Lonchura striata: one gene and its partner. The main gene of each other region encodes a partner of the protein of the gene in region 2 in a complex. Links are inferred from orthologs where the notes say so. Each region holds a gene or a part of one and is shown on either strand. Other genes may lie near its edges.

Region 1 (8,786 bases), about 14 Mb from region 2:
CTAATCATGCAACTAAATCAGTGCAAACATTAAAAGCAATCATTCGCTTTAAAAAAGAAGCAAAAGATTTAATTTCAAGTATAAAAAAATATAAAAAAGTCATATCATAAGTCCAGTTTTGTCTAGTATGGGTCAACACTTTAAATTGCATAGCTCATGCGGCACCTGTTTACCTAGATAGTGAGCAAAGATAAGTGCACTATCAAGTACCACTTTTCAAGGCATTGAAATTTGCAAGTGCTATTATACGTGCATTCAAGCAGTTTGCAAGTGCTATGCTGTATCATTATTTTCTGATCTTTATGGCCATCCTTGACACCTCCTGGTAAGGAAATTGAAAGCACTCTCCTCTCTCCTCCTTTCCAAGACTTGTAAAAATGCTCCTCGCCTGTTATTAAATGCACTGCATTTCCCAGAACGTCTCCACTCTGTCGCTGTCACTCCTCTTTAGGGTTCATTGGTTTAGCCGTGGTGGCCACTGCTTGCTTGCTCGTCCCCCACGTGACGTAGCCTTGCCGAGTCCCCCACTGAAGAACACAGATTGCAACTTTTGACTTTTTGTTCTTTGCACAGTGAGAGATGCCAACAGTCAACACAGTCCAGATATGGTATCGATTCCCTTTTCCAAGACACGGCGGGTGTAGCCAACCATGGGTTGCTAGTGGGCAGTAAAAGCATCGGATCGCACCAGCCCAGCTTGTGACTCCACAACAGCCAGGAGTTAGAAATACAGCAGTTTCTAACATGTCTGCCCCTTTTCTTTCTCTCTCTCTCCCCCCGATGGAACCACAGAATTCCTTGCTGGAAGTGCTGTAGCAAGAAGTGGGTATCTGTGATGTTTATGTTTAGATAAATTTAAATTAAGAGGAAGTGATAGCCTCCCAAGGCAGGTGTCCTGCAGCTTCCTGTTAGACCTAAGAGGTGACAGTCGACTTTTTTTTTTTTCTTTTTTGTTTTTTTTTTAGTTTTCTAAGTTTGGTCATTTTGACACCTGCGTGCAAGAATACGTTGTGTTCTCACAGTCTGTGCTTTTGCCTGAGCAAAGGGAGCTCATTTCGGTCTGGCTTTGCCGGCAGGCGGGGAAACAGCTGCTCAGCCGTTCACTCGTACTGGCAGGCATTTAGGTCCATCGTCACTGGTCACTGACTTTCTGTGCTCATGTCCCTTTTCCGAGCTGCCTCATGTGTGTGTGTCTGTGTGTGTCTGTGTGTCTGAGCGTGTGTTTGTATGCGTGCCCACATTTTGTGTGTGTGTGTGTGTGTGTGTGTGTGTGTGTGTCTTTTTAAGATATTTCATAGCATTAACTTATAAGTGATAGAATATATAAGTGTCCATGATCCACAAACTGCCACTGTCCTGACACCAAAGTGAAATGATTATTTTTTTCTTTTTTTTTTTGTCAAACTTTTCCACAGTGACTTTCCAACACTGATGCCCGGATACACAGTGAAACTTCCTCCAACACCATCTTGTACGGGAATGTTTCTCTCTCTCTCTCCCCCTCTCTCTCTCTCTCCCCCCCCAAAACACACCTTAAATCAAGCACAACCACATTCTTCCACAATCATATTGGGAACGTCCCTTTTCACAATGTTGTATTCATCATCAAAGTACAGCATTGACATTGTGCTAAGTTTGGTTGGAATGCAACAGGAGTTCACGGTGCCCGGGTTCAGCCCCCGCATTCGGTACTGATTCACGACAGCGGTGTGAAAGGAGGAAGCCGACCCCGGGACACCGGCCAAGTAGGCCGGGCAGCTCCCTTCACAGTAATTCCCATAGTAACCTGATGGTGCTATGATCCAGTCATTCCACCCAATGAGTCTAAAGTCAATGTAAAACTGTTGCCTGCAACATAGATTGGTCCTGCCATCGCACTCCAGGCCTCTTTTCCGGATCCTGTGTTTGTTATCAGCGAGGCGGGCTTGCACCACTAAAAAAGGCCGGTGGGATTCCTCCCCGGGGTCCACATAAATTGGCAGCACTGAATACTCTTCACAGCCCTCACATTGAACATCCAAGTTCAGTCTCCTTTCTCCTCTCTCAAACAGAGCCTGGATTGCCTCTGTCATGGGAAAAGTGTGCCAACCACTTCTTTTGAGATCAACTTTCTTTTCAACCACATTCCACTTGTTGCTAGTGTCCGGGTCTTGGAAATAGACTTTGACTCTTACTTTTCGCCTGCTGCCTTTCTCTAAGACATATGGAAGCAGCTTCAAGTAAAGCCACAGGCTGGCTTGAACGACAAACAAGTTCTGGTTCCCTTCATTTGAGATGAAGAAATAGAGGCGGACTCTAGATGAGGCCAGATCGTCTGCAAGATAAGGAGAGATCAGCAAGATTAAGTCAAAAAGGAAATGTTAGCTTGTGTGCCATTCTGGATTCAGGGACAACACTAGAGCACAGCGGATCGAGTGAACAGTGACGGGGCTGTGCCAGTCAGAAGGCATGCACTGCATCAGATATCCCAAATTTGCAATTAGAATTAATTGAAAAGGGGACTTCTCACAGCAGCCTTCAACATCGGGCTGTCGTCGGATGTGTCAGATGCACAGACAACAGTAAGAGTTTTCCCCAATATATGGTTTTTCCAGAAAGCCAGATTTAAAGATGCTACAGCAGCACCTTGAAAAAGACCGGCGCTAGGACTAGATTCTGCTATCTCATCAGTTTAAGAATAGTTTTAACTTTCAGCTACCTGCCAATTCTCATGGGGAGAGCTCTTTCAATAACCACTAAAACGCCAATGCCAAACCAGGGATTTTGTTTCGATTTGCATGTATTCTTGTTGCGGTTTAAAGGAGAGGATTCATGAGACAGAACGGAAAATATTTCAGTAATGTGCCTGCTTGTCCAACAGATCAAGCTAACCCCCACTTAGTCTGGTAGAATATCGGCTATTATTAATCATTTCAATCTCTGCCTTTTCTCCCCAGAACGATGAGCTCCCATACGAGGCAAGGCAATGAAGCGGTTGTTCCCGCTGTAACGCCGTTATTGGCTGTTCTCAATACGCATTTCAGCAACACCAGAATTAAAGGAGAAAACCAAATGTCACCAAATGTCTGACATAACCCCTTATTTGTAAACAGAAGAGCCTGCTGCACGAAACATTTCAGAAATACCAGCGGCCTTCCTGCAATTTTGTAATATAAGTCCTAACTAAATTTGGCGTAGGTGATAAATGTGACGGCCTTTATGGCGGAGACTGTAATTCTGATCCCTGAATCAAAGCATCCCAATCGCTATTTAAAATTATTGCTGGAAAGGCATTTTCTCATCTGCCCTTATCGGTTTTGCTTCCGTCTGTACAGAGCTAAATGTAGATTTTTTTCCTGCCTTTTCCTTCCCTAAGAATCTTTAGCATTTTTGTCAATCTCTGAATGGGATTTTTTGCGTAGTCGGTGTCTTCATTTGTTACCCTAGATGCCTTTCATATGTGCCTCCAGAGCCCATTCAGTACCTTGTAATAGTTCAGTGACAAAAATTTTCACTGTGTTTGTCTACGTTTTACATAAAGTCAATTTTGGAAGTGTTACAAAAGACAGCGATTGACTGAATACCAAATGGAAGTACGAGCCCACCCCCAATCTCCCAACAACGTCCTATTAAAAAATAATAACCCCCAAAATGTACACTAAGAAAGCCTTTCTCATGTTAGTAAATACACAACTTTTTCATAAACTGTGGTGACAGTGACAGAAAAAGAACAGTACGGTGCTGCTGCACCGATCCACATCACTTGTGTTGTGTGAGATTGTGTGCACTCATAAATTTTGTATGTGAATATAACAAGCATATGTATAATGCAACAGATCCCATAGATACTGTAAATGTATATGCCTTTGGTAAGTGGGAGGGTAGATAAAGAAGATGAGTGGGCAGCATACAGGATAGAAAGAGATTTATTTTGTGGACAAATGATATATAGATGCCACAAGAAGATAGAGGGAGGAAAATGAAACGAGCGATAGAGTGATGAAGGAAAGGAGAGATGGGCAGATATAGACAGGTAATGCGCAGAGTGATGCTGTTCCAGCCAGATGTGCAAAGTTCATGGGGACAGTGGTTAAACTACTGGAAAGCTGTGCTGAAGGGATTCGGTGACACATAACTGCAATGGCTGGACAGGACTGAGATGGCTGGTACCGTGGGGATGGAGGGCAGTTAGTAAATAGACTGACAGACAGAGAGGAGACAGACACACTTGGTTGGACACTGCATGCAATGGACAAATAGACAAGGCCAATACTGCAAATGAAAGCTAAATAAATGGGAAACAAATGGAAAGAGAGGATGGGGAAATGCAAGCCTCAACAGACAGATGCAGGCAGTGAACCAGATGAATGTGCAGGGCAGACAGACAAGGCAAGGGATGCAAGAGATGGAGCGGGACAGGCAGAGGAGGGACAGCGGGACATGCGGGGACAGAGACAAGCCCCGGTGCTGCTCGAAGGACCGCCAGAGGGGAGCCGGGGGCACGGAGGCTGCGGAGGGATGGAGGGACGAGAGAAGGGAGTTGCAAGGCACAACCTGGGGAGAATCCCGGGCACAGGGGCAAAGCAGGGAGAATGGAAAAGCGAGGGCAGGGCCAGAGCGAGACGGTGCGGGGCAGAGGGGAGAGCGAATGAGGCGGAGGACAAGCGGGTGAGCCGGGCGGCCAGGTGCCCGTACCAGGCAGAAGGACAGGCGGGAGGACAGGCAGGGCGCGCAGCGGGCCAGGCAAGGGCAGCCGGGGAAGTGCTACGGGTCAGGCAGGCGGAAAGAGAAGGTGGGCAGGAGGACAGGCAGGGCGAGAGGGAAGACTGACAGAGGTCAAGCAGGGGGACTGACAGGGGTCGAGCAGGGGGAATGACAGACGGGGCGAGGCAGGACAGGCGGGGAGCGCGGCAGGGCAGGGGCCGCGGCGGGTCGGGCAGAGGGGCGCGGGCGGCGGGGGAGCGCGGCCGGGCGGTGCCCACCTGTCTCGGCGAAGCTGATGATCTCGGAGACCGGGTCGTGGGCCGGGGGCCCGGCGCTCGCCTGCCCGTCCAGGCTGGGGATCTCCACGCGGCCGTCCTCCCGCACCTTGCCGGCGTGCAGCTTGCGCAGCGCCGTGACCATGGCCGCCTTGGGCACGGCGTGCGTGATGTTGGGCCGGTCCCGCATCTGCAACCGGCTCAGGATGTGCCGCTTCACCGCCTCCAGGAAATCCCCGTCCACCTTGCCCGGCTCCTCGGGCCGCCGGAAGCCGCAGGAGGTGCATGTGTCCTGCGGGGAGCCGCCGGCGGGGGCCGGCGGGGTCGGGGTGGCCGCGGCGCCCAGCAGGAGCAGCCCGCAGGCCAGCAGCGCGGCCAGCACCCCCCGGCGAGCCGCCCCGTCCATGGCGGAGGAGCGGGGGGCCGAGCTGGGGGCCGCCCCGGAGCGCCGCAGGGAGCCCGTCTGCAGGCAGCGCCGCTCCGAGCGCTCCGCGGCGCGGAGGGGGCGGTGGCAGCCAAGCTGGGGGGCCGCAACCGCTCCGCGCAGGGGGGGAGCCGCGGCGGAGGGAGGGGGCGCCCGGGAAGCGGCGTGTGCCGCCGGGGAGGCGGAGGGGGAGGCTGCACGCGCAGGCACCGAGGGCGAAGTTGGCGGCGGGGGGGGAACAGGCTTGGCGTGCACGGAGAGAGCCCGGCTCCACGGGGGAGGGGGACGGCAGCAGGTGAGGGGGTGGCTGCGGAGCCCGGGGAGGAGGGAGGGGGAGCGGGGAGCGAGCCGGAGGTGCGAGGGGATCCGGGGAGCAGGGGAGAGGCGGCGCCGCTCTGCCCCGGTGCCCCGCGTCGCTTCAGAGGGGCATCCCCGGGCGCAGTCGCTCGTGGTCCATCGCTCGCTTCGGCAGGTCCGGGCGGGCCGCGGAGAGGAGCTCTCTAGTCCAGCGTCATTGAGGGGGGTCAGGGAGATAAACGAAGCAGATTTATATACAATCCAATTTATAGCCTGGAAGGAGGGGGGGGGAGAAATGCCACTTGTACCCCCCCGCCCACTCCGCCCCCGCAAGACAATCCGTGGGTGCAGGTCTCTGAGCAGGTCGGCTCCGCGCCGCTCGGTTGTCCCCCTTCAGCGCCCGCTGCTTCTCAACGTGCCATCAAAGTTGACCCGGAGCATAGCTGGGGAGGGAGCCGGGGGCGGCGGGCAGAGGGTGCGCGGCTGGCAGCTCCACTGTTGCGAGTCTTCTCCCCCCACCGTCCCGCTTATTATTAGCGAGATGCTTTTATTTTCAAAGCAGCGCGGAGGGTCCGGAGTCCGGCGCGGATGCGGTGGCGGCGCCCAGGGACCCCCGCCGCGGGCAGGGCACCGCACGCTGCGCGACGCGGAGCGGAGAAGCGGCGCGATCCCGGCGATCCCAGGAGAAGCTGCACGGATCCACTCGGTCAGACCAGCTCTTCGGCTCGCTCTCTCGCTTGCCCTTTTAAACAATATCTCCCTTGTTGGTGGTTTGGGTTTTATTATTATTGTTGTTATTATTATTTTAAGTGTGATTTTTGTTGTTGTTGCTGCTGCTGCTGCTCCAGTTAATCTGTCTCCCTCTGCGTCTTTTTGATCTTTCGCTCGCCTTGTGCTGGCTTGAACGCTGTGTTTTGTTTTGTTTGGGTTTTTTGTTTTGTTTGGCTTTTTGGTTTTTGTTTTTGTTTTTTGTTTTTCTTTTTTTACGCGTCTGATGTTCCCTCTCGGATCCGCAGTGAAAGGTCTCGGGGAAGCTGCTTGCTCCTCGTGTATCTTCTCTGATCTCCTTCTGCTAATTTTTCCCCCCTGCAAAATCACGACATTGTGGCACTTTCTACTGAAACTTTTATACAGGAGTTAAAACCACGTGGGAACTCCAACCTATAACAGAGACGCCATGGGTTCCTCTCTATTTAGGAGATTAAGTTAAGTCTTTTGCCCCCTGGGCTATTACAGTAACTTCCTGATGTGGAAATATTAACTATGCTGTTTCTTTAACTCCCCCCGTCCCCTCCCTCCTTCCCGGTTCCTGCAAACACACCCACCACACACCGGCTCCCGTCCCTGTCCCGTCGTCCGGCAGGACGGACGGAGGGACGGACGGACCCCGAGCGACCGCAGCTCTGGCCCCCCTCCCGCCCCGGCCGGGAGATGGATGCCCCTTTCTTTCCCTCCCCCGGTGCTCCTTGCCTTTTAAGCACTTGAAAGAAGAAGTCATTAGAAAGTTTACCGTCGGTTGGCTTTGCGACGGGGCGGGTTTCTGTTTGTTTGTTTGAATGGGCCGGGTAGCCGGGGCGGGTGCCGCGGACTGTGTGTGTTTTCCGTGGGGCAGCAGGGACGCGGAGCCTGTCGGAGGCAGCAGGGGGAGGGGGGCCGGGGCGGCGGCCCAGGGGAGCCGGGAGGGGAAATAACGGGACCGCTGCACTCCCGCAGCCGAGGCGGGGAGCCGGCAGCACAGCCGGCCCTGCCCGCGCCCGGGGACCGGCTTTTCTTGCGCGCCTTCGCGGGGCAGCGCTTTGGCGGGGGATGGAAGGGGAGCGGGCACCGAGGCAAAGGGGATGGCTGTGACAGCCCTCGCAGGGGTCAGCAGAGATTCCCACCCGGCTCCAGCCCGGGGACCAGCGGCCAGGGACAGGGGCCGAGGGGGCGGGGGGAGAAGCCCGGCGCACATCGGCGGCCGCGGTGGCACCGAGGCGGCGGCACCGAGGCGGTGGCACCGAGGCGGCGGCACCGGGCGCCGCCACCGAGGCGTCCCCGCGGCCGCTCCGCGCCCGGCCGGGCCCCCGCGGGGCCGCGCTCACCTGCGCGGGGCCGCGCGCGCCGCCGCTGGGGAAGCCTGGGCCGAGGGCGCCCCCTCTGGGCCGCGCGGGGCAGCGGCGGCGGGGCCGGGCGGGGTCACCGGGACAGCGGGACCGGGACAGCGGGACCGGGACAGCGGGACCGGGACAGCGGCACCGGGACAGCGGGACCGGGACAGCGGGACCGAGACAACGACACCGGGACAGCGGGACCGGGACAGCGACACCGGGACAGCGGGACCGGGACAGCGGGACCGGGACAGCGGGACGGGCACAGCGACACCGGGACAGCGGGACGGGCACAGCGGGACCGGGACAGCGGGACGGGCACAGCGACACCGGGACAGCGACACCGGGACAGCGACACCGGGACAGCGACACCGGGACAGCGGGACCGGGACAGCGGGACCGGGACAGCGGGACGGGCACAGCGACACCGGGACAGCGGCACCGGGACAGCAGGACGGGCACAGCGGGACCGGGACAGCGGGACGGGCACAGCGGGACCGGGACAGCGGCACCGGGACAGCGGGACCGGGACAGCGGGACGGGCACAGCGACACCGGGACAGCGGGACCGGGACAGCGGGACCGGGACAGCGGGACGGGCACAGCGACACCGGGACAGCGGGACCGGGACAGCGGGACCGGGACACCGGGACGGGCACAGCGACACCGGGACAGCGGGACCGGGACAGCAGGACCGGGACACGGGGACGGGCACAGCGACACCGGGACAGCGGGACCGGGACAGCGGGATGGGCACAGCGGGACGGGCACAGCGGGACGGGCACAGCGACACCGGGACAGCGGCACCAGGACAGCGGGACGGGCACAGCGACACCGGGACAGCGACACCGGGAAAGCGGGACGGGCACAGCGGGACGGGCACAGCGGGCATCCCGTGCCAGCCCTCCGACGCAGGCCGTGGGGGCGCTGGGGAGGTTTCCGCGGGCCGGGCTGGGGTGGGGGCCGAGGCTCGGGCTGGGCAGCGGGCGGTGCACGCTGGAGTCGGAGCTCTGCGCTGGGA
Region 2 (8,786 bases):
CTGCTTCCCTGTAAGTGTGGTCTTCCCACTGCCACCTTCCCTACCCTGACTCCAAGGGGACTTATGGAGGTGTGTTAATGCCACTCTGACGCAGCCAGGATTGGACACTGATGGAAAAATCTATATAAAACGAGTAACTGAACACTTCCAAAGGTAATGACATCTGTGTGTGATTACTTGTTTGGCTGCACTGGCTGAAGCTGTAGCTGCTAACTCAGCAGACTGTAAGTAGACACTATTGTCTTTTCTGTGAGTTCTGGCTGCAATTCAGGATGTTAATAATATCTAGAGAGCTATAGGAGGCTTGGATCCCATCTATCAGGAACCACCTCTCTCTCCACATACACTTACAGGAGCAAGACTGGGGCAATGATCTTGTTGACAGTTCCCTAATTTAGCAATGAGTGGCAGGCATTTGTTGGGGGGACCCGTACCGAGTCCATTATTTATTAAGCTATTACTTAGGATCCAGAATGGGTGTATTTGTTTGTAGGGAAGTCTGTAAAAATCTTGATGGCTGTTCTAACATATGTTTATGCATCAGAATCAATGCTAGGGGGATGCTTTCTTTTTAAATTAGGAACAAAATATCCCCTAAAAGTAAAATATCTGGATATGTTGTTATATTCTTTCCCCAACACTTACAGCAGCACTGGGAGAGCACCCCAGCCAAGCTGACAGGCAGCCAAATATAATTTATGGCTTGTTTTAAACTGATTTGTTGACTTCATGAAAGGCCCTGTCAAAAAGAACAGTCCCCTGAGTTCTAACGATGATAACAGTTATATTGCATCAGCGCTGAAAAACTCTTGGATAACAGTGAACCTACCCTGAGAAATCTTTTTAAAGTGCCTGAACATTGGATTTTCTGAAAAGAAATTAAACCCAAACTATTGTTTCATAGTTAATTTCATTTTTCTTCATTCTTTGTTCATCTTATTTTCCACTGATTGGAATACTCTCTTGGTAGCATGAAAATAGTTTCCCTTATTTCAGTTAATTAAAAATAAAGATGTGTGTTGTTTAAAGGAGATGCTGCTAACAAGGACATGTTTAATTTCTCTTACGTGCAGTGTTGAATTTGCCAGTGATATCAACATGTTTGTGTCTGCATCAGTCTGAGCCAGAGCAGGACACTCCTGAGCCTCCTATCAGCTGCATTTCTCTCTGTGTGTCTCTCTGAAGCAAAGGGCAACCCCCACGTGCTGTTTGTGCCTGTGCTGCTCAGAGCTCCCTCAGCCAAGGGCAAGATACATGTCCTCTATCTGGCCTGCATCTTGGGGAGCTTCCAGCCACCAGACCCTGGCTCCTCTGCCACTGCCCTCCTCGTCCTTGCCCCGTGACCATGCTGCTGGGGCAGCCTTGCCTCTGCCTGCCTGTGAGAACAGCGAACACAGCTGCAAAAGACCATCTGCTTCCAAAGGCCTTTCCTCCTCATATTTTAACAGTCTTATCTCCAGTAAGTTCAATGGTGTTGTTTCATTGGTCAGAGTTCTTCCTGGTGGAAATACAGTGCTTTAGTCAGAATATTGGCTTTTAAATCTTGGTAAATTTGACATGTTTTCTCTTGTCTCACCCCCATCTTTACCTGAACCTGCACCGTAGATTTACTGTTCTGCAAGTTTCCATTAATCCTGACTACTTTTCTGTAGGTCTTACTTGGTGTCGCTGAATATTGGGAGAGCGCAATTCTAGCTTACAGCTAAAACAATATCACAGGAAGAATTATAAATTTGTTCTTGTCCAAGCACATAACAATGAGTGAGCCTGACTGTGACAGTTTGGATCTCTGATTTCCTCCCACCACCGTGGGAAAAGCTGCTCCTGTGCTTACACAGGATGGCTTTCTCAGTCTGTGTGGTGAAGCGGTGCCCTGCCAGCTCCGGGGAGCCCGGGGTGCCACAGCTGCTGCTCTGCCGCCGGGCATCGCGTGTGAGCGGGCACAGCCACACGGGCTGGGAGGGACCCAGCCCTTGCAGAGAACATCTACAGCACTCCAGAGAGCTTAGGGAAGGAGGGGAAATCCTTGCAAACTGCTGGGAGTGCAAGTGTGTGAGATTAGTCCAAGGGCCTGATAGAAACTCCAGCAAAGTCGATGCACAGCCCCGTGCCCTTCAGTAGGGTGTTTTCTTGATCGGGTTTGTGTTTTTTGTGAAACTAAAAGGAAACAATTGTATTCAAAATGACATATCTTTTCCCTTCATTTTAGGAAAACAGAGAAATTCAAATCAATTTTGTGGAGGGAAAAAAAAAAGTATTTTAGGGCAGAATATATGTTTTTGCCCAATTTCTTGTGGAAAAGAACTCCTAGTATTAAGTAATGAGCCAAAACTAGAACCATTGAAACAAATGAGACCTGTGTCATTTACTTCAGGCTGAGCAGGTTTTCATACATATCATAAACAATCACAGTAATTTTCTTTTACCATTTAAACGGTGGCAGTGCTGTGCAACCCATATGGCAAGGTTCTTGTTTTCTCTGAACAAAGTAGATCTTGCTTCTTTTATTGGTAGGTACAGCTGGGCAGAAGGTGTATCGCAAGTTTGATGTCTGTGGAACCAGAAAAGTACATTGGATTTTGGTGCTGCAGAAAAATATTCAGTGTTAGGGTTTTTTTCCTCTCTTGGAGGTAAAATTGTTCTAGCTGTTGAGGGTGGAGAGTTGGTGTTGGTGTTGCTTCCAAAGGCTATTTCTTGACATTCACATTTAACAAATAACAGGAAGGATACTGTGGTTAATGTGTGGTTGCAATTCTGGAAAGTGGCAATACAAATTACAATCTGTGATTCTATATTTTATTGTCTCACCAATATCCATGTTGGATCTGCATAGATTGGAAGTAAAAATATTGTAGGAAACTTTGAAAACATTTTTAACTATCAGTGTAAATTCATCTTGACCCTAGGAATGTCAAACTATGACCCTGGCCGTCACAATGATGAAAATCCCAGTACAATTTATTTAATAATGCTCTTGATGATCAAAGTACCAGAGTACAGCTATTTCATCCATTACCGTTTGTGAAGAAAAATGGAATTGTGCAGAAAAATTTTATTATCACTAAAATTGTAACTCTGACTTGCAACTACATAATTTTATGTAGTAGCATTCAATATTTTTGAACTTGTAGTCCACTCTTGAAACCGGTATAGGAATTTTGGCACAGGGAAGCATTTCCCATAATCAAACCTTTGGTGATCCCCAGCTATTGAAGGTGCCTTTGGGTGCAGGGTGTTCTTAAGAACCATTTTTTCTGTGCAACAGCCAGTGAAACTTGTTTGAAAGAGCCTTGCTAGGCCAGAACATCAGACACTACATTCCAGTCACAGTTCTCCCATCAGCTGCTACCCTAAATTTATCTCTTTGGTCCTGTGCAATACAGCAAAGGTTAAAGCATACAAACAGCTGAGTGGGTTCACTTTATCTTTGTTTTGAAATAATAAAATCTCTTTAAGAGGTTTTAAGCAATGGTTTTGCTTGAGAGAGTCAGGTGGCTGAAGCCATACGAGCTGAATGGATTTCAGACTGGACATTAGGAAGAAATTCTTCAGAGAAAAGGTGATTAGCTATTGAATGGGCTGGCCAGGGAGGTGGTGGAGTCACCGTCCCTGGAGATGTTTAAGGAAAGACTGGATGTGGCACTTGGCTGACAGGTTGGATTCGATGATCTCAGAGGTCGTTTCCAACCTAACTGATCTGTGATTTGCCCGGGCTCACCAGGGAGAGCAGTAGGTGGCACGGCCAGTGCTCCTAGGGGAGCTCTCAGGGACAGAGATAACGGGGTCTTGAACCCGAGGACGAGGCAGGAGTGCGGGTGTCTGACAGGCAGGCCACCGAGTTCACGCATGACGCAATCTCAGAGCCTGCTAAACATTTTTTCCTTGTTGCAGGCTTTTTGTGAATCCTGAGCTCACGCCTCCCTGCTGACAGCCTCTCTCACAGACAGGCTGCAAGGGGGAGGGGGGGCGTTCGCGGCCTCCCCGGGAAGGTCCGGCGGGGCCTTCCCCTCCTGCCGGAGCCGCCCCTCGCCCGCAGCTCCGGCCCGCGGCGCTGCCCTCGCCCCGCGGCCGGCGGAGCTCCGCCCGGCCGCCCCGCTCTGCCCACCTGGAGCCACCTCCATGGTGCGGGGCGGAGCCGGGCGGCGGGGGCGGCGCGGCGGGACGGGCGCCCGGGCCGGCGGCTGCGGCGACTCCCCTTTGTGTCTGGAGCCGCCCGTGCTGTTGGGGCGGGCGGGCGAGAGGGGGCGCGGGCGGCGGAGCTCCGGCCCTCGCTCGGCTCCCGCCCGCAGCCGGCGGCGGGCAGGGGAAAGAGGCGGAGCGGCCGCTCGCCGGCGAGCCCGGCGCGGGGGGAGGAAGGCGCTGGCAGCGCGGAGACCGGCGTGAGGAGGCCGGGCTGGGCTGCCCGGCGCTGTGGAAACTCGGGGCGGGAGGCGGAGGAGGGGAAGGGCCTTCGCCCGCCGAGAGCAGCCGGGTGCGCTCGCAGCCGGAGCCGCCGAGGAGGGGCCTCGGCGCCCCGGGCCCCACCTTTGTCGGGGTGGCCGGGGGTGGCGTCGGTGCTGCGGCGGGGGCCGGGGCAGCGCGGAAGAGCCCGCCCGGCGCGGGAGGCAGATGGGCCGGGATGCAGCCGCAGCCCTCGCCGTGAGAACAGGGGGCCTCGCCGCCGCCTTGCCCGGAGCGTGAGGCAGCAGGAGCGGCGGCCAGAGGACAGAGCCCTTTGCCGGGATGGGACGCGCCGCCGCCGTGAGCCCCTAGCTCGCTCTCCGCGCCCCGGGCAGCCCGCAGGGCCCGCGCTGACTGACACCGCGGTGGGCGCGTCTGGATATGTTCCCTTCCCGACCGGGCGCTTTCTTCGATGTCGTGAAGCTGCGTGGGAAATAGCCCGGTTCCCAGCGGGGTCGGGAGCGTGCCGCCGTCCTCCCCGGCGGGGGAGATGCCTCGGGGCTGGGAGGCAGAGCCAGGCGCTTCCCCCGTGTCCGCTGAGCGCTGCCGGCTCCCCAGGCATGAAGGCAGGCGGCTCTAATGGAGTAAGAGCGAAGACGGCTCCTCTCATCTGCCATTTGCCCTTCCAGACTGGATTGTAAACCGAGAGAGTTAAGGAAGGCTGTGCGAAAGCAGGAGGATTCGCCTCTCTTCGGGGTTTGGGTGTTTTTTTTACCCCTTTTTGTTTTTTTTTTTTTTTCTCCTGCCGGCTCGAACCGTGGCTTGCCCAGGTATGCCTGCCTCACTGCAGCACCTTGTGCTGGTGCTCCTGCTCTCCAGTGCCACCCTGCTGCTCGGCACTGCGGCTGGTGAGTAGCCACTGGGTGGAACGAACTGGCCATTTTGGCAGCGGGAAGGGGGTGGGGTCCGCTGCTCTTCGGGCACATCTCTGCCTCCTCACCGAGTGGTGTGCATCTATTTCAGCGGCGAAGCCTGATAAAAGTTTTGAAATCTTGATACGTTGAGTGTCTCGGGGAATAAAATCTGCTTTATTGTGTAAATGAGCGAGACCTGCACTCAGTATAAGAATGCTTTGCTTAGATCTGCATCTCTTGTCTAATAAGTTACTTCAGTTTTGGAAATATATATAATCTTTTAGTTTTGCATACCTCGCCTTTTGTAAGGTAATGCAGGAATTTTTAATATATATTTTAATCGTCAGCAGAGCTGTGCCTGTTTCGCTGTGGGATCTTCGGGCACAGCCATTTTTAATTTTATCAGCATCGGTGCTTCTCGGGGCCTCACACATGTGCTGTAGTTTTGTAACAGAATTACTGTAATGTGTATTTTTTTTTTCCATTGGAGAGATCTGAAGCAAATACGGAGCTATTTCTTCTGTCACTTGTGATTATAGAACACAAAAAAACACTCTTAAGGAAATGCCGAAAGGTCTTGAAGGGTACTCTTTTTTTGTAACAAGAAGTTGGAAGCAGAAATGCTAAGAACACCCTTACTCATATATTTGGACACTAGTCCTATTTTTAATTGTGTTCGGAAGCTCAGTGTTAGATATGCGGGGTGTTGGAAAAGAGATGTGTGTTGGTCTGGCATCCTTTGCTTTTCTGTCACGGTGACAGATTAACATGTTGGAGCCTTTTAGTGTAACCCAGCTTTGCTAGGCAGGAATACCAATTGTTCTTGCAGTATGCATTTCCCAGCACTTTTGGAAGACTCCTACGACTTTTCTGTCGTTTTACTGATCAGGATCCAATCTGCAGTGCTTGCTTTTCTTAGTGATATTTTGTAATCTTCTGGATATAGATAAGCGAATCTTCAGAGAAAAATTGCTGAATCTTGCTAACATGACCTAACAAGCTGATGGTGGTTTCCATGTTATATTTCAGTGAGGTCTTAAAATTAATTTGTCAGAGTTGAGGATACTTGGTATCATTATTAGGAAAATCCTGGAAATGACACATGTTTAGGCAGTTTCTACATCTCTCTGACTGGATAGTCCCTGATTTTCTTGCTTCTGCTTACTAAGAGGTCTCTTTCAGGAAGATTAATAAATAAAAAGCATGGTGTTCCCTGTATTATCCTGACCTTTGGCTGCCATTATTTTAGATGGATGTCTGCAGCGTCTCTCTGTGGCTGTTTCTGAGGAGTGTTTTTGGTTTATTCCCTTTTTTTTTTCCTGGGAGAAGGGACTTCTGAAGGTCAAAAATCTTGGTATTAAAGCACATATGAATCAAGAATGCTCAGCATTCCAACTTTTCTTTCAAATGTATTTTTTTTAAAAAAGTGTAGGTTTTTTTGGTTTTTTTTTTTGTTTGTTTGTTTGGTTTTGTTTTTTTCCATTTTGAAAACTTCAATGAGTTGGTATTTTCTGTGCCCTGATGAAGAAGGGTTGCTGAAGGAACAAGTACAGATTTGTACCAGGCCAAGGGCTGGGCAGGTGCTCTAAGAACCTATTTGCACGGTTTACCCAATTCACTTCAATTCTGAACTGGCAACAAGCATTCCCAGTATTTCAGTTCTGCCTTGTTTAAAGGGTATTAACGATGCCAGCTTGGTTGGGTGTTTTTGAATAGGCACCTATTTTCCCATTGTGATTTATTTCTTAATTGTGAAATTTTAACAATTCACATTTAAAAAAAACTTAGTCATAATCCTCTGTAAAAGTAATTACATGGATGATTTGAGCTTTAGTTAAGGAAGCTAATGGCTGATTTTAAGTTTACACTGCATTTCAGAAAAAAAATGTCTATACATGGGGAAGCTACACTAATGTGTAATTCTGCCCTTTTATGTTCATGAAAGAGCCAACACTCTTTCTTCTCTTCCCCTCCCCCAAAGTATGAACTGTACACTCCCATCCAAGTGAGAATGCTGCCTTTGTAGCTTTGAAACCCCTATTCTTTCTTCTGATTAGTGAACAGATACTATATCTTGGCAGTGTATAGAATTGAGTGCCTATAAATGCAAAATCATGACATCAGAGGGAAAGCATTTTGATAACAGGTTTTTAAGTTTCTGTCTGGAGTAGAATATCTGGACCTCTCCGGGGAGTGCTCCACAAAGACCTGGGCTCAGTATGGACAGGAAAGGAAAGATAAAATGATGAATAAAGAAGATGACACAAAAAAATCTTACCGATTTTTTGTGTCATCTTCTTGTAGATGATAGTTCCACTCATAATCTGGAATATGAATGAAGCGAGAAGGTGGTTTTCCCTTCCCCTTTTTAATTGAAGATATAATAAAGAACTAGCTCTAGATGCAGAAATATTTGCTGATTATTAGGAGGAAAATATTACTGGCTTCCTCCATAAAATACAGATCTTAACAGTTATCTGATAAGTCTGCATTTAAAGAATGTATTAGTCTTTGTAAAGAGAAATGCTTTAGTGAGGACATTTTACTGACAGCAGTCTTGGGTAGAGGTTTAAAAAGCAGTATTGGACAAAAATGGTTTGCAACACTTTGTTCTTTATTTTTCAGGTTATTTAAAATCCTTATTTCTAAATCTTTTGTTTAGAACTATGAGACATATATATATATATATATATGTCTTTATATTGTAGAGGATTCTGGTGTGTTAATCATGAGGATTTCTGCCTGAAGAGGTGATTGATTGGTGAGCCTTTGAGCTGTTTCGCAGTATTGCAAAAGAATTTTGTTTGGGTGTTCGTATGGAGCAGATATTAAAGATACAATCTTTCCTCATTTCACTTGCTTACGTTATGTGATATGCAATGCTGAACCACTTTTCCTTCTGCATACATGTCCACAGTAGACAGCATTCCATTGTACAGTGTGTAAATTATTTGCAGAAAGTATAAGGTGAAAATTAAAGCAAGCAGGGTATCCTTTTATCTTTGGGAGTATCTGTGCGGTTCAACAGGGCTGCAAAAATTAAAGCGTTAAAGGAATTGGATGGAGATTGAATTTTTTTAATGATAATTCTAATTATTAATTAAAATGAGTGACTGAAGCATCTTTATCTAATTCTGTCTTGCTTGTTTACTGTAGTATCTCAACATAATTTGTCTGAAATGTGAATTGGGTGAAATGATATTGAACTCATTTCTTCTAATTCAGTTTAGTAACTGACCCTGTATCTTGCATATTAAAGAGTGGGTTTTTTTAAACTTATCTGCACCCCAATTTCTACTTATGTACAAGAGCTACACCCATTGCTTATGTTTTTTTCAAATGTAACCTAGAAATTATGTTTATTTTTCTGTTTGTGTTGGGAGCCGTCTCAGAAATCTTAGCCTGGGAAATGGCAGCCAGGCTGTTGGCTTGAGGTCACACTGGGATGCCTGAAGGATAACCACAGCACAGGTGCAGCCTGGACACCAGGCT

The links.
Region 1: the proteins of BMPR2 (region 2) and INHBB are in contact, whole or in part, in a crystal structure (PDB 7U5O), measured with the Homo sapiens proteins. The link is inferred for Lonchura striata from reciprocal best matches to the Homo sapiens genes BMPR2 and INHBB. Residues at the interface, in NP_001195.2 of Homo sapiens: Tyr40, Tyr67, Leu69, Val80, Lys81, Trp85, Ser86, His87, Ile88, Gly89, Asp90, Gln92, Ile108, Gln109, Tyr113, Phe115; in NP_002184.2 of Homo sapiens: Phe309, Asn318, Asp319, Ile322, Ala323, Pro324, Gly326, Tyr327, Tyr328, Thr379, Met380, Ser381, Met382, Leu383, Phe385, Asp386, Asn390, Ile391, Val392, Lys393, Asp395, Ile400.

The regions. Positions count from the first base shown.
Region 1 is NC_134610.1:12,354,728-12,363,513, forward strand, and holds the start of INHBB (inhibin beta B chain), read right to left. Parts: upstream 5,365-8,786; coding exon 4,962-5,364; intron 2,315-4,961; coding exon 1,539-2,314; 3' UTR 1-1,538. UniProt on the Homo sapiens protein: Inhibins and activins inhibit and activate, respectively, the secretion of follitropin by the pituitary gland.
Region 2 is NC_134610.1:26,685,397-26,694,182, reverse strand, and holds the start of BMPR2 (bone morphogenetic protein receptor type-2), read left to right. Parts: upstream 1-4,532; 5' UTR 4,533-5,212; coding exon 5,213-5,288; intron 5,289-8,786. UniProt on the Homo sapiens protein: On ligand binding, forms a receptor complex consisting of two type II and two type I transmembrane serine/threonine kinases.